Linked DNA regions of Saccharomyces cerevisiae S288C. The gene in region 1 interacts genetically with each later gene. Each region holds a gene or a part of one and is shown in the gene's direction. Other genes may lie near its edges.

The links. A genetic interaction does not mean that the proteins touch.
Region 2: mutations in ELP4 (region 1) and URM1 impair growth when combined (synthetic growth defect), as found in Saccharomyces cerevisiae (4 studies listed by BioGRID, with this or other methods).
Region 3: mutations in ELP4 (region 1) and TUS1 are lethal when combined (synthetic lethality), as found in Saccharomyces cerevisiae (2 studies listed by BioGRID, with this or other methods).

The regions. Positions count from the first base shown.
Region 1 is NC_001148.4:357,870-362,079, forward strand, and holds ELP4 (Elongator subunit ELP4), read left to right. Parts: upstream 1-2,339; coding exon 2,340-3,710; downstream 3,711-4,210. Other genes in the region: FMP30 (N-acetylphosphatidylethanolamine-hydrolyzing phospholipase D), read right to left, coding at 131-1,537; ATG21 (Atg21p), read left to right, coding at 4,003-4,210. UniProt on the Saccharomyces cerevisiae protein: Component of the elongator complex, a multiprotein complex which is required for multiple tRNA modifications, including mcm5U (5-methoxycarbonylmethyl uridine), mcm5s2U (5-methoxycarbonylmethyl-2-thiouridine), and ncm5U (5-carbamoylmethyl uridine).
Region 2 is NC_001141.2:339,899-344,136, forward strand, and holds URM1 (ubiquitin-related modifier URM1), read left to right. Parts: upstream 1-2,637; coding exon 2,638-2,937; downstream 2,938-4,238. Other genes in the region: long-chain fatty acid-CoA ligase FAA3, read left to right, coding at 1-1,530; NAS2 (Nas2p), read right to left, coding at 3,096-3,758; YIA6 (NAD+ transporter), read left to right, coding at 4,164-4,238.
Region 3 is NC_001144.5:979,873-988,118, forward strand, and holds TUS1 (Rho family guanine nucleotide exchange factor TUS1), read left to right. Parts: upstream 1-3,021; coding exon 3,022-6,945; downstream 6,946-8,246. Other genes in the region: TDA5 (Tda5p), read left to right, coding at 7,190-7,269, 7,341-8,241. UniProt on the Saccharomyces cerevisiae protein: Guanine nucleotide-exchange factor (GEF) for RHO1 that stimulates the exchange of RHO1 GDP-bound form into GTP-bound form. Required for signaling of cell wall defects to RHO1.

The DNA.
Region 1 (4,210 bases):
TACGAATGTTTTTAAATTACAAAATCATTAAATCATAAAATGTTCAGTGAGTACAATCTCCCAAAGTCTACGTTTACTGTAATTTATCGCTATTTACAGGGACGCTGCAGCTTAAATATTAGCGCCTAAGTTAGTCGAAGCATTCTGTCTTGCCCAATTCTGGACAGTAGCAGCGGTCTTTAAACCCACCCCACTCGGCCAACATTTCTAATTTTTCCTTTGGCTCTAAGAAATATTCTCCGCTTAATACAAAGGTCCCCCAATGAACGCCTAATACATTTCGAGCTTCTAGATCTTTCATAATCTTGAGAACCTCTTGAGGATTAATATGTCGTGGTTTTTGGTGCCACTCAGGGCAATACTGACCACATGGAAGCAGCGCTAATTTACAACCTTTGCCAAAGCGTTCTTTAATTCTAACGAATAAATCTTTCACATATCCAGTGTCACCAGCATGAAAAAGTATGGGATTACCATGGTGTGTTAATAAAAAGGAGCACCATAGAGACTTGTTCGTATCTAAGAGCGATCTCCCAGACCAATGCATGGCAGGAGTAGCCGATATGTGGTATATCTCATTGTTTTTCTTTACTTGCAAAGTTTCCCACCAAGATAATTCTAGGACATTATCACAGCCGTTACTTGTCATATAAGATTTCATTCCTTTAGGTACTATCCATAAGGGAGAGTCTTTGCCACTCCAGTATTCCAAGCTTTCTAAATCCAGGTGATCGGGGTGATTATGGGATACAAGGATGATATCTGGTTTGGGCACCTCTGTAATTTGAGATGGCATTTGAGTAATTCTTTTAGGACCCAGGGTCTTGTGGATAAGAAAGTCACTGAACAGAGGATCAGTAAGTATCCTCAATCCATTATAAACCGTGTAGTTACAGGACTGGCCCAGCCATGTGTTATAGACTGGGCACTTTGATCCTTCATTTTCTTCTACTGCAGTCGGTATGTGCAATTCGTCTAACACTTTGCATTCTAGCGGCAATGCCGTTTCCTCTGCGGGGTCGACGTCCACTAAGTTAGGCCCCCATGTTGGCTTGTGTACAGGCATTAACTTATTCATTTGGTGTACATCACGTGGAATACCTCCCCTATTTCTTTCAAATAATTCGAACACTCTATTTGCAAAGAATTCAAAAACGGTCTGAATCCTGTATTCTTCGAACGGGTTCTCAAATCTGCCTAAAACTTCCAAAGGGCTATATTTTAGCAAGGATCCCTTATAAGTGACCTCGTTATTATTCTCCTCTAATCTTTGACACATTTCGTTTCTTAAATCAATTTGCTTCACTGTAGCCAATGATACATAAAACGCATATCCTGTGTAAGGTACCAAAACAGACAACAGAAGTATACGTGCGTATTTTCTCGAGCATTTTTGTATAGGGCGTGTCTTTTGCGAAGCATGTCTTTTGAAAGTTGACAATGATGTCTGGGGTCTAAACAGCTCTGATTCTCGTAAACGCACTAGTCTCCTTTGGAGAAGAAGCCTCATCTGAACATGGCAGGTAACAAAATTCATTTGCAACACAAGCAGGCATGCAATCCTTCAGTAATTGGAGTGCTACTGTTCACACCATATTCTCGCTATTCTCGAACTACGTTTTTTTTTTTTTGTTAAGCATCAGTAGTGAGTCTTCGGGAACTGCTTAACGACAGTAAAGGAAAAAAAAAACTAGCAGCTGTTGATAATATTCAGAAAATGAACGCAGAAGGAATCATTAGCTAAAAAGTTTATTATTAAAATCAGACATATATCTCATTATAATATTTTTTTTTTATAATACCACCATTTGTTCTCATATAATACTGATAAATATCGCATCGAATGGAAAAGACAAATAGGAGGCCGCTATTGTAATTTGGGCCTTAACCTATTTATTCTCTCTCTTTTAATTGATATTTTAATCTTTTTGAAGCCTACAATGTATTTTGGGCGATAATCAAGGAGAATATCAGTGTCATATACTCACTGTGGTAAATGTATTTCTAAAGTAGTTCCAATTCTTTCTTCAAAAAAGGCCACTAGACGATGTGCTTTCTTGCACAAGCATTTTGCTGGGCTATCTTCAATAGTGATAATTCTAACTAACTCAAAACCAGATGGCAAGTTCTTCCCTATGGTCGACTTCTCTCAGACGCAATAGTAGCTATGTTATTGATGGCTTTTGACGCCAGACCGGGTAAAGCGCATGGAATGAACTCTAAACTGTTAAAATAACAAAAACGACATATGAAGATGTCGATGAGGCTGGATAGTTTAGAGATGAGGTGCAGAGAACAACATTGTATAACAAATTCGGCTCCCAAATATCGCATGTACCATGTCATTTCGTAAAAGAGGTGAAATACTGAACGATAGAGGTAGCGGGCTAAGAGGTCCACTGTTAAGAGGTCCTCCACGAACTTCCTCAACGCCATTGAGGACAGGCAACAGAAGAGCCCCTGGAAATGTGCCCTTGTCTGACACTACAGCGAGATTAAAGAAGTTGAATATTGCGGACGAATCCAAGACAAAAATGGGGCTGGATAGCTCCCATGTGGGCGTTAGACCTTCTCCTGCAACCTCTCAGCCGACGACATCAACTGGGAGTGCTGACCTGGACAGTATACTAGGCCATATGGGGCTGCCGCTGGGAAACTCTGTACTAGTAGAGGAGCAGAGCACGACAGAATTTCACTCTATTCTCGGTAAACTGTTTGCCGCACAGGGTATCGTTCATAATAGAATTTCAGATAGCAGTGCTGATAAAACTAGAAACGGCGACACTCATGTCATTGTCTTGTCATTGAACCAAATGTTTGCAAAGGAGCTACCTGGTATCTACAAGGGATCACGTAAACAAATGAAGAAAAACCTAATCTCTGAAGAAGAATCAAAAGTTACTGTTCAAAATTTGAACGAGACCCAGAGATCGACGCCTTCCAGGTACAAAGACCTGAAAATTGCATGGAAATATAAACTGGCAGATGAAAAGAGATTGGGTTCTCCGGATCGAGATGACATCCAACAAAATTCTGAGTACAAGGACTACAATCATCAGTTTGATATTACAACGCGTCTGATGCCCGCTCCCATAGCATCTGAACTGACATTTATCGCCCCAACTCAACCTGTCTCCACTATTTTGAGCCAAATAGAACAGACTATTAAAAGGAATGACAAGAAACTGATAAGAATTGTTATTCCTTCCCTTCTACATCCGGCAATGTATCCGCCCAAAATGTTTGAATCATCTGAAATAATAGGTTTAATGCACGGTGTGAGGAGTCTTGTCAAGAAATACTATGAGCGGGTTGTACTGTTTGCTTCCATATCCATAGACATTATCACTCCCCCATTACTGGTATTGCTGAGAAACATGTTCGATTCTGTTATCAATCTAGAACCCTTTAACCAGGAGATGACTGAGTTCTTAGAACGTGTTTATAAATCGCAACCGGGGAAGATTCAACATGGGCTAGTCCACATATTGAAATTACCAGTTTTCACGGACCGTGGAGAGATGAGAGTTTTAAAGTCTGAATGGGCATTTAAGAATGGCAGAAAAAAGTTTGAAATAGAACAATGGGGCATACCCGTGGATGATGCTGAAGGTTCAGCTGCCTCGGAACAGTCACATTCACACTCGCACTCGGATGAAATCTCACATAATATACCTGCAAAGAAGACCAAGATATCTTTAGACTATTAAGAATATGGTTCAATTTATGGGAAATATACGGCATGCTTTTTAACAAGCGTGGTGAATGTATTATTTTTTTATCTGTTATATCTTAAATACGACTATTATATATATATCCATCGTCTTTTTCCTGACTCTAAGCGGTGGCAGCTGGAAGGTAGAAAAAGGTATCGCCTAGATGTCAAAATATGAAAAAGTGAAATGAATATTAACAAAAAAGGAGCGTGAGCTGCAGAAAGAATTTGACCAACAAAAGACAATTCCACTCCTTTGGATTTGAAATAGACAGATAGAAAAGGATATGAAAGTATTACAATTCAATCAAGATGCAACGTGCTGTGTGGTGGCCGCGTCATCGCATCAGATTTCGATTTTTAACTGCGACCCCTTTGGTAAATGTTTTGAAATTGACACTAAGAATTCCAAGAAGAAGACTTCAAACAATAACGGTTCAGCTTCAAACTCAGAATCACGGAATAATGAGGAGAGCATATTAATAACTAATGGCT
Region 2 (4,238 bases), on another chromosome or scaffold:
AAAATGATAGTGCCTTTGCAATCTGCTAAAGATATCAAATTTCTTATCCATAACGAACCTATCGACCCCAATGACAGAAGACAAAACGGCAAACTTTACAAGGCTGCTAAGGATGCCATTAATAAGATCAGAGAAGTTAGGCCAGACATAAAAATTTATAGTTTTGAAGAAGTTGTCAAGATAGGTAAAAAAAGTAAAGATGAGGTCAAACTTCATCCACCTGAGCCAAAAGATTTGGCTTGTATCATGTACACCTCGGGCTCGATCAGTGCACCAAAAGGTGTAGTATTGACTCATTATAATATTGTTTCGGGTATCGCTGGTGTAGGTCACAACGTCTTTGGATGGATCGGCTCTACAGACCGTGTTTTGTCGTTCTTGCCATTGGCTCATATTTTTGAACTGGTCTTTGAATTCGAAGCCTTTTACTGGAACGGTATTCTTGGGTACGGTAGTGTTAAGACTTTGACTAATACTTCGACTCGTAATTGTAAGGGTGACCTGGTTGAGTTTAAGCCTACTATTATGATCGGTGTGGCTGCCGTTTGGGAAACTGTGAGAAAAGCTATTTTGGAAAAGATCAGCGATTTAACTCCCGTACTCCAAAAGATTTTTTGGTCTGCCTATAGTATGAAAGAAAAGAGTGTACCATGCACCGGGTTTTTAAGTCGTATGGTCTTCAAGAAAGTCAGACAAGCCACCGGTGGTCATCTTAAGTATATTATGAACGGTGGGTCTGCGATCAGTATTGATGCTCAGAAATTCTTTTCTATCGTCCTGTGTCCTATGATTATCGGTTACGGCCTTACTGAAACAGTTGCGAATGCTTGTGTTTTGGAGCCTGATCATTTCGAATATGGTATAGTTGGTGATCTTGTTGGATCGGTCACTGCCAAATTGGTGGATGTTAAGGACCTAGGTTATTATGCAAAAAACAATCAAGGTGAATTGCTTCTAAAGGGTGCGCCGGTCTGTTCTGAATATTATAAGAATCCAATAGAAACGGCGGTCTCTTTCACTTACGATGGATGGTTTCGTACTGGTGATATTGTTGAATGGACTCCCAAGGGACAACTTAAAATTATTGATAGAAGAAAGAATTTGGTTAAAACCCTAAATGGTGAATATATTGCATTAGAAAAGTTAGAATCTGTTTACAGGTCAAACTCCTATGTGAAAAATATCTGTGTTTATGCCGATGAAAGTAGGGTTAAACCGGTGGGTATTGTGGTACCCAACCCAGGACCCCTATCTAAATTTGCTGTCAAATTGCGTATTATGAAAAAGGGTGAAGACATCGAAAACTATATCCATGACAAAGCATTACGAAATGCTGTTTTCAAAGAGATGATCGCAACAGCCAAATCTCAAGGTTTGGTTGGTATTGAACTATTATGTGGTATTGTTTTCTTTGATGAAGAATGGACACCTGAAAATGGCTTTGTCACATCTGCTCAAAAATTAAAGAGAAGAGAAATCTTAGCCGCTGTTAAATCAGAAGTCGAAAGGGTTTACAAAGAAAATTCTTAGAGAGAAGCTTATTACCTTCCCCTTCCATCTATGCACGGTGTCTCGTACTTCCATAGAGCACCGATTAGTGAATACTAAAACTATGTGCGTGATAAATGGTTCTCTTTTACAGATGCGGTAAATCAATTATTGATATACTACATAACATACAAACATGTTTCATTTCCGTAATACAAATTACAATTGTATAATTAAAAAATATAAAAAACTTCGTGATATGAAATCACATTTTGCTATTGAGTTTGCCACATGAGCGGTATACGAACTATTCGTTATTTTATGACTTTAAAAGCCATACCGAAAGTAGGCTTGAGAAGTATGACTACTGTAGGAGTGACCACTACTGTTAAATGCAGATAGCCGTCTTATGCTCTTCCCTTGTTCTTCTGAATTGGGAATGCATAGCTTGAAACATCAATCTTAATAAGGTCTTGTTTGTTTCTGCTTGGCTTTCATAGTAGCAAATAGTTTCGACCTTAATGTAAGAAATAAAAGCAATCGTTAATTTGAGTAAAGATAACCACTCTTCCTCTTCTACTATCAATATAATAAGAATAACGCTTATGGTTTATTTTAGCTTTTTTGAAAGCTAAACATTAAAAAAGAATAAAAATGCACGGCATACCTACATATTTTAAAAACATATATTTTATGATTGACTTTAGCAAAAGTTGGCGCTGGGTACTTTGAGACTCTTTCCTACAAAACGTTACCAACACTTGCTAGTCTAATCTAATCTACTTAATCAAGGTTTTAGTGGCGTACCATGTGACGGCCATCAAATGCCATCAGTTCTACAAGTTCACATATATTTATATATAACTATTCTCCTAACTTGTATAATATTATACCGAGACAGAGGATAGATTCAATTGATTTCACATACCGGATTATGTTCCTTCCCAAGTTCTCAATCTTATTTAGACTTTTTTTTTTAATTACATTGTCGCCCACTTCGGCAGAAAAAATATAACGACAAAGTAATGGCATCGCATCGACCTAATGAAATACTACTGGCAGACGGTATGGAGAGCTCAAAAATTCCCAAAGCAGAAAACAATACTGATTTCTGATACTAAAACGAGATAGGTTAATAGCAAAATCGGGATGGTAAACGTGAAAGTGGAGTTTCTAGGTGGACTTGATGCTATTTTTGGAAAACAAAGAGTACATAAAATTAAGATGGACAAAGAAGATCCTGTCACAGTGGGCGATTTGATTGACCACATTGTATCTACTATGATCAATAACCCTAATGACGTTAGTATCTTCATCGAAGATGATTCTATAAGACCCGGTATCATCACATTAATCAACGACACCGATTGGGAGCTCGAAGGCGAAAAAGACTACATATTGGAAGACGGTGACATCATCTCTTTTACTTCAACATTACATGGTGGTTAAAAATAGCAGCAAATAATTTTTAAGAAGCAGCTACATATATATATATAAAGTGCTGTACAGCTTGAATGAATCACAAGTTAGATAACGTAGGTAATATGCAGATAGTATAAAAAGTAATAGTAATAACTGGATTGGTTTTTTTTAGTACATGACGAAGATTATAGCTCTTGTATCCTACAACCCAAAAGACCTCTACCATTCCAGTTTCTCGAAGGTGTTAGCGATGTCTTTAGGATTTGCCCTTCTCTCAAGAGAAGGACGGGAAGTGGCCTGTCTTCATTTTTCATTACAACCATCTGAATGTTTTGAAGTTTAGAGTGGTTTGCCGCATGCACATTACCAATAGAAATCAGCTTATCATCAACCTTTATGTCTGCTTTATCTGAAGGGCTACCGGGTACTACCTCACTGATAAATGCAAAAGGGATGGTATACTGAATAGCTTGATCGTCGTTATTCCTTCTTGCATCTTGGTTTGACTTAACGTTCATATTATCAAAGTGCTGGTTTAGTAAGACGTGTGATCTTTGCAAAAGGTGATTTAAATCATTCTTCAGCATATTAACATTCTTTCTGATCATAGTGACTTGCAATACATCGACATCCGAACGAGGATACCCGTCTGGCGTCACCAACGCAGAGTCCATGCCGATGCCTTGCTGCTCAAGCACACTGAAATACGCCTCTAGTTGTGTCTCAATATCTGTCTTTAGAACCATCAATTCCGACAGTTTGAAGCTGTCTATTTGACTAATTCTTGATGTTAGGCTCGGATCTATCTTAACATTGGCCAACAATTTACTTAATTCTTCTTCCTCCATTGTAGTTCGTTCTTATTCTAATTCTTGCTCCTTTTTACTCTGGTGATAACTTTTCTATCTCTCAATGCTGAACATTTTTTTTCCCTTTATTATCCAATATTCCAACCGTTATAAAGTAAGCCTTATCGAACACAATCCACGGCGCACGCAAGGGACAGCAAATTTCGAGAATTAATGAATAGCCAGTAGTAAGATCCGTATTGATAAAGGTCATAGATCCCAACCTTTATGTGAGCCAGCCCGAAGGGCCCTTTAAATGACTCTCATAATATGGTCCAATAGCACCAATTTCTAGGGGTTACCCACCGGCCTAGTGCTTAATCGAATTCTGAAAAGAATCTCTACTACAGACTGCCAACCGTAATAGTAGTGAGATCAACACTGAAGGCAGCAGTCTTTAGCACAATGACACAGACTGATAATCCTGTCCCCAACTGCGGTTTACTGCCCGAGCAGCAGTATTGCTCTGCAGACCATGAA
Region 3 (8,246 bases), on another chromosome or scaffold:
TGCTTTTATTGATGTTTTGGTGCCGTTCTGAAAGTTGAAGTGAAGATTACCAATGGCATTTATAGGAATGTCTTGTTTTTGAGCATCGACTATGTTTATTTCAGAATTGGGTGTTGCATGGTGTAAATAATGGGCTGATCTGACAAGCGTTTGCGAAGCTCCTGAATCAATAAGAAGGTGATCAGGTAGTTCGTCATTCGAGTCTATTGTGCGTGTTGGCTTAGATTCTTTCTGTTGCTGGCCTAAGACTAAGTTCGTTGTCATCGCTTAAGTATTGTGATGAAACGGTTGATTCATTAATGTGATCATTGTTCACCCTTGAGAATTTACTGGATGTAGCAATATTGTGAGCTTTTGCTGCTCTTGGTTTTGAACTATTTGTTCTATGATAATTACGAGTTGTAACCTTCGTGTTAGTCGTGTTTGGAGATGTGCGAGAAACATTTTTGTATTCGCTGTGTTGTTTGTATTGGGACGGTTTATTTAGATTCATGATTTTATTTTCGTCATATATTAATTGAATTTCAGCGAATAATTGGGAAAGTTTCATGTTCGTTTTGGTACGATATTGATTACGTAGGTATTTGAAATCACCGGATAGACCTTTAAGTATTAGTTGACAGGCCAATCTGTCGCTAACATTGATATTGTTTTCTTTTAGCCTTTGAATGATCGTGCTGACTGTAATTTCAAATGTATCAGCAGATGTACTTCCGTTGTACTCAAGGTTGGCAAGAGCTATCCAATCTTTTAATTCTTGATTGTTAGTTTGCATTTTGGACACACTTTTACAAAGGACAGTAAGGATGTCAGAATAATTAATTTCTAAAATTTGTTTTACCCATGTTGGCAATAAATGAAATGGGGCAAATGCTTGGAAGGTATTGTATATATACGCATGTTCTTCATAAGTCATTTGTCTTTTGATTTCACCCTGGTCATTTGGAATAATGTCACCGAGATTAGAGTTCTTCAAAAATCTGATGTAAAATTTAACCCATGTAGAAAAGTTTTCTTCTGATGTTAAAGTGTGTGGTGGTAAGACATTATTTCTCACCTTTGTCTTAGCTTGAGGTACTTCAGAGTGTTGATCCTGTGAATCGATTGGATCAGGTGAGGAAGTACTCAGCGGTGGGATATACTGTGGCAGCGGATAGTGTGGGTCCGGTTGATAATACGCAGGTGACGTTTGATAATGTGAACACGTCATCATAGATGGTTGTTGGTAATGTGCCCAGTTAGAAGCCATAGCTTTGTTTGGGGTCATCATGCCGTGCTGTTGGTACTGTCCATTCTGTGGAGGTGGTACTGAAGCAGGTTGAGGAGAGACATGATGATGGTTCTCTGGAACAGCTGATGTCCCAGGTGTTGTCTCTTCTTGAGAATTAACCTTAGTGGAATCTCTATCAAATTCCGGTAAATTGGAAGCTGAAACGGCTAACGGATCTTGATTTGATGGGACTTCCTTAGAAGTAACCGAAGCATAGGCGCTACCATGTAGAGAATGTGGATTTTGATGTAATTGTTGGGATTCCATTGTGATTAAGGCTATAATATTAGGTATGTAGATATACTAGAAGTTCTCCTCAAGGATTTAGGAATCCATAAAAGGGAATCTGCAATTCTACACAATTCTATAAATATTATTATCATCGTTTTATATGTTAATATTCATTGATCCTATTACATTATCAATCCTTGCGTTTCAGCTTCCACTAATTTAGATGACTATTTCTCATCATTTGCGTCATCTTCTAACACCGTATATGATAATATACTAGTAACGTAAATACTAGTTAGTAGATGATAGTTGATTTTTATTCCAACAGGTTCACACGAAGATTGAAAGTGTGGCCACGCTAATTTAGTTTATTAGGGAAATGCTCCTGGTCAGTTCTAATTCACCCAACGTAGCGCGGAATATTTTAAAGTTAATATAGTATTTCGATATGACAAGCACCTCTAAACAAAAGGTTATTTTCGCTTTTGTTCATTGAGCGTGTACTTCAAGCCTGATCCTGCTTTTTCTTCTGATTTGATCTGATTCGATTAAGCAAGCGGTACTACCCTAAAACCGCCATCTGTTGTAATATAGTAACGTCGCAATAAACCTGTCATATAATTAGCAGCTAATCCTTATATTCCATCTCCTCAATTTGTGATATTTATCGTATATAATTCCCATTTCAGACCGTCATTTAGTAGTAGGCATCTAACTATGGAACGGCTTTACCCGATCTTGGTATGTATGCCATAATGTACTACCGCTATCGATTTACCTTAACCCTAACGAGTGTCTCTAGCCAGTATTTTAAACTTCCATATCACAACTAATGTTGAAGATTGTATAATAAAAACATCAAGCTATTTAATAGATGCGATTAATCTCCTAATCGAAAACAGTTTGTTCGGTGTCCAAATACTGTTTTAGTGGACTATGATAAACGTTATAACAGCTATTTTGACTAAAACAACCGTAAATTTACACAGATAGGTGTTCACAGTAATTTTTTGGGGAGTTAGGTCGAAATCTTTTCCAAAACCAGTCATGCAAAGGAAATGCGTCAACTTTTGGGGACTTTTCCCCTACTCAAACACAGTTAGTCAACATTTAAAGGTTGTGTCTTTACTTAAGAGAAAATTAACTGAGCTTCGGTCATACATACGTAATTTCGCTGCTTCCAGTCGAGCAGTTGGTGCGCTATAATCATTTGATGTTTTTAGCTTACGGCTTCTTAAGATTTTCTATTGTTCATACTGACTCGTCGCATAGGCCGCAATATAAATCATTTAGAGAAAACGTTAACACATCGTTTAGGTAAACAACCCCTAGAGAGGATGATCAGTACGCAATATAACTGTTCAAAATCCATTTCTTGCATCAATATTTTATTCAACTATTATTTCTGGAGGTTTTAGTGGTTCTGTATACCCCCTCCAGCCACTGTTATGAACAATTAATTGATACTACTTCGAATATAAACATTAAAACAAAAAACTTATTGAGTGCAGCAAGTTAACATGTATCGATATAATAGAAGTTCCCCTTTTGAACGAACACCAGAAAAACGAGTAAGCCGTCAAGAAAGCCAACGAAAGAGCATCGAATTGCCCAAACTGCCACCATTGAATACGAGGAACTCCTTTTTGGATGATTCTGATAACGGAACAGATAATATCTCAATTGGCTGGACACCAATCAGTGACACCCAGCAATTCCAAAGCCCGGTCCCTCAGGCTTTTACCTTTACATCAAAACATAGTGCAAGGGGAAACGGTACTAGCTCTTCAGAATCCACACCCAAATCGACAAAGTACGTCAAAGAAAGACGACCACCACCACCGCCACCCCTTTTGTATTCCACTGAATCAATACGGATAGACTCACCCATGGTATCTCCCAGTTCTCAGTCCCGGGAAAGATCACCTAATAAACTATCCTTTATAGGAAACTCAGAGGAACGACATCACATGGAATACATATCTAACCATTCCAGGATCTTAAAATCACCATTTGCGAACGGATTTAGTCCAAATTCCCCTAAATCTCCAAGAGATAGTAGCAAACAGCAGGCTCACTTCTCTGATGAATCAGATCTACGGTGTCATGAAAGAGAAAAAGCTTTACCCCCAATTCCTTTCACTACTACTCTTCTGCTATCTCCTTTTGATGATGAAGACTCAGAATTTTTTACGAAACCACCACCGCCTCTATCAACATCTAGAAACGTAAGTGGGAATAGCCGAGTATCAGAAGCCCTAGAAAGTGTTTATTCTGACTCAGATTATACTTTTAATAACTCAAATGCCAGGCAAAGTAGTTTTAACTCTTTACTAGGAGCCAAGCCATTAGAATTAGCACCAAGCATTACTGCACCGACACAACCATTTTCAATTCAATCTATCGATGAGCACAAGCTTTATCAATGTGATAATGTTTACAAACTTTCTGCTATTTATGAGTGGATTTTGAAAGTTTATTTTGAATGGTTTAATGAATGTGTCTTCACGAAAATCGATCTTTTCCAAATTGTTCAATTACTTTTAGAGTTTCAAATGCCTACAAATTTCGATCAAGATACGATAGACTCAAATGTGGATAATATTATGGCTTCGTTTATTTCCCAGAAAGCAGTAAGATTCGATATCATTAACGATGAAGAGGTAGCCGTAGTTGTGGGAGGGCTGGATATTACTGGTGTTTTCACCGAACTACTACCGTGCTATTCATTCATCGATAATACTTATGGATCTACAAACTCCCTGATTTGTTATTCCAACGTTTGCACACATGGCCAAAGCTCTGGCTTCAGAAAAGAAATAAAACTTTCCGAAATCATAAATAAATCAGTTGGACTTTGGACAGAATACTGGCACTTGACTCCAGATGATTTAGCAGAAATTAATCCCCGTGAAGTACAAAGACAAAGCTTTATATTTGACTTAATTATTTTAGAAGAAAGATCCTTAAACATGGCTACTGCCGCGGTAGAAATCTATGGGAAACGGTTTGACAAATCCCTACTTCCAGATGAGCCTGAGTTCAAGGCATTGGCATTTGATATCTTCGAACCTCTAATACAATTACATACCGAATTTCTTTTGACGCCAATATTTTGGAAATTAAAAACGAGAGGTAAGTTTATTGATGGCGTTGGAAAAATCTATTCAAAATGGTGTGGTGAAGCCAAGAATATATATTTGAATTACGCGAAAGCTATGGCAACGGTACACGAAATCATAATGTGGGAGAAGAAAAACAAGACGAAATTTGTAACATGGCTTAAGGAGATTGATAACTCGGTTGAAATTACAAGATCGAAGATGTATCATGATGTTATATTCTTTGGGGGGTTTTTCAAATCTTTACAAAACATGCCCGTAACTCTGCGCTCAATTTTGAAGAACACGGATCCTTCCATGGAGGATTATGAATACCTGAAAATAGTAATTAAGGAAGTAGAAAAGTTGAACTTTGAAGTTAATCAGGTACATGGATTAGCAATTGACCATAGGAAACTAGTAAGGTTTTCGAAACAATTAGTATTAAGTACTAATAGTAGTAATGCAACAAGCTATGTGAACGTCGGTGGTAGTACTAACGCAAATGACGATGATGCAATTCAGGATAAACTAGCTCTTGGTTTAACTTATCCGGAAAGGAAGTTAGTACTATCTGGCACTGTTTATAAAAAGAGGGATTTATGGCTGGACCCAACCCCAGTGTATATCGCATTATTGGACAATTGCTTACTGATTACAGAGGAAATAAGTAAAGGAGAAACTCAAAAATATAAGCTTATTGAAAGACCTATCCCAATAGATTATTTAAGTCTCGAGAAAAGGAAAATTCCAGGAACAAGTAAACAGCCTCTGAGAAACTACTCTCAGAAAGAACATAAATCCCCAATGCATAATTTTTCGACACCGATTAACTCCATGAGACCTCTGCTTAAAAGTTCTGGAAATCACATGTCAACAGCGTATGGAGATAGAAAGACTAGTAATACTGAAATTTCTAACGCGAATCCAAACACAGACGAGTTCTCATTTAAGATCAGAAATACAGCCACAGGTGAATCGTTCAAATTTTTTACAGAAAGTGCAGAAGTACTCAACCAATGGATTGATGCTATCATGGAATCTTTTAAAAGAAATGCAGAAAATCATGATTTAAATGCCTTTGAATTTACAGTGTTGAGCTCTGAGTTCGCATACTTCGACAAGGATGCACCGGTGAATCTACCTGTAGCTCCGGAAGGATCAGAAATTGATGTAGCACTCAAAGCTTACGCTCAAAAAGCAAACAAAGATTCATGTTCATGGAGTAAGACAACACGGATTCTTTGTTGTGAAGATGTTAAATTCGAGGGCAGAATTTACCTATTTGTGGCTACAACAGACGGTATCTATGTGAAATATAGAGACGATTATGGTAGTGGTTTCGTTAAAATATTAGAATTAAACGACGTCAAAAGAATGGAAGCCAATGTTAAGTTGGGGCTCTTGTTTGTATTGGATAACAGAAAGTTGTGCTATTTTAATATCTCAACGGTAGTGAGCCGTTACCTAGCGCAAGGAAACACTCTAGATGAAAACTGCATTGTGGGAACAGTAATCAGAGATAAGGTGAGATTCTTCAAAATTGCTGATGATTTTGGTAACTCAAAACATTTATTTTTTGAAAGAAAGGGGAAGATAGTTATATTAACACCAGAATTTGATCAATTGACAAACCAAGTAAAATATTTCAAATTTTACAAAGAGTATAAGCTCCCAAGTTCAAGTAATAACATTCTGAATAACGAAATTGAGGATATTGCCATATTCAGGAAAAGTTTTGCTGTGTGTACAAAGAAAACAGTCATACTTTATCAAGATTCATTCGAGGATAACGGAATAGTCTTACCATCTTTTTTGAATGATAAAGATATGATGGCACACTTGAGGCATCCACATTTGAATAGCTTACCGTTCAAAAGTGCTACAGACTCCAAGAAACGCCCCTCCATAGAATCTCTCACTGAAGAAGCAAAAAAGGATATCGCCACTTGCAAAGCTATACCGGTCAATTTTTTTCAAATATCACAATCTAGTTTTTTTGCCTTGGTTTATGATGAAGCCGTAGTGAAAATAAACTGCTACGGTGAGATGTCTGATTGGAGAAAGGATATTCTCTTACTTGATTTTTGTTGTACCGGCGCGAGCTTCCATGGTAATCATTTGATTCTCGTTGGCGACAATTTGATACAGATTTACGACTTAAAAAATGTTGAGCAGAACCTAGGCGAATTGGTTCCCGTCCAGATCATAAAAGGAAAGAAGATAAAGCTGGCTAGTTCAGAAAGGAGAGAGAAAACAATTCTTGTGTTAAGTCATCCAAATATACTTAATAGACAATTATTAGTCGCGTGCAATCCTGTAGCAATGGCAGATCATCAATAATATAAGATATAGACACTTTTAATGGTAAATATCGTTGTAATAATATAAGCCAACAAGAATATAGTCCAGTAATTATGCTATTTGCAGTAACTCACATCATTATTCTCTCTGTTCATATAATCCTGAATAACAGGTTACCCTCGGAAGTGCATTTAGCCGTATAACAAGTAGCTCTTTAAAATCAGTAGAACAGATACATTAATATGTGATAATACGGCTGTGAGGAAAAGGTGAAGTTCTGGTGATGAATATAGACTGTTTGTGTCGTTGGGTAGTTCTGCCACTGCTGCGCTATCCACTTCTGGTAGCTCTTGTATTGAGATGGTATGTAAAGTAGAAAATAGGCATGAGGTTAGAAACAGCGTTTTTTATACTAACATGACGAACTAACCTAGGTCTCTAAGCGACTCGATAAGCATTTGTCTAACAATCTATACACTACTGATAAATGCATTCCTCATTGCTAATTCCTATATAAAGCGGTCGGGACAGGTCGCCTGGAAGAGCCTTCGTGAATTTAAGAATGGCATAGTTCTTATTACTGGAGGAAGTAAAGGACTTGGACGGGCCATAGTATCTCAACTCCTACAAGACTACAGCAACCTGACCATCTTGAATGTCGACATATGCCCATCATCAGTGAGGAATACTCGCGTGAAGGATCTCATCTGCGACCTGAGTGATGATGAAGAAGTTGCAGCACTACTGAATTTGTTGAAAAGAAAGTATAAAAATGAAATCCGATTGATTGTGAACAATGCTGGAGTAAGGGCCAACTTCACCGGATTCAACGGCATGGAACGGGATAATCTTGATAAGATTTTTAAGATAAACACATTTGCACCACTTCAGTTCATTCAAGAACTGGCCCCTAGTAGACACTCAACTAGACAGTGTTATATTGTCAATATCGCAAGCATTTTGGGCATATTGACGCCGGCCAAAGTAGCAGCTTATGCGGCGAGCAAAGCAGCATTGATAGCCTTTCATCAGTCGTACAGTTTTGAATTGCAAAACGAAGGCGTAAGAAATATCAGAACACTATTAGTGACCCCAGGGCAACTGAATACGGAAATGTTTGCAGGATTCAAGCCTCCTCGCCAGTTCTTTGCCCCTGTAATAGACATTACTACTCTAGCTGCCAAGATAGTCCGTTATTGTGAGCTGGGTCAGAGGGGACAGCTAAATGAACCCTTTTATTGTAGTTTTGCTCATCTTTTGATGTGCGTACCTTATTCGCTACAACGCATTGTAAGAAGCTTCTCTCGCATAGATTGCTGCCTCCCGGACGAGTAGAAAGC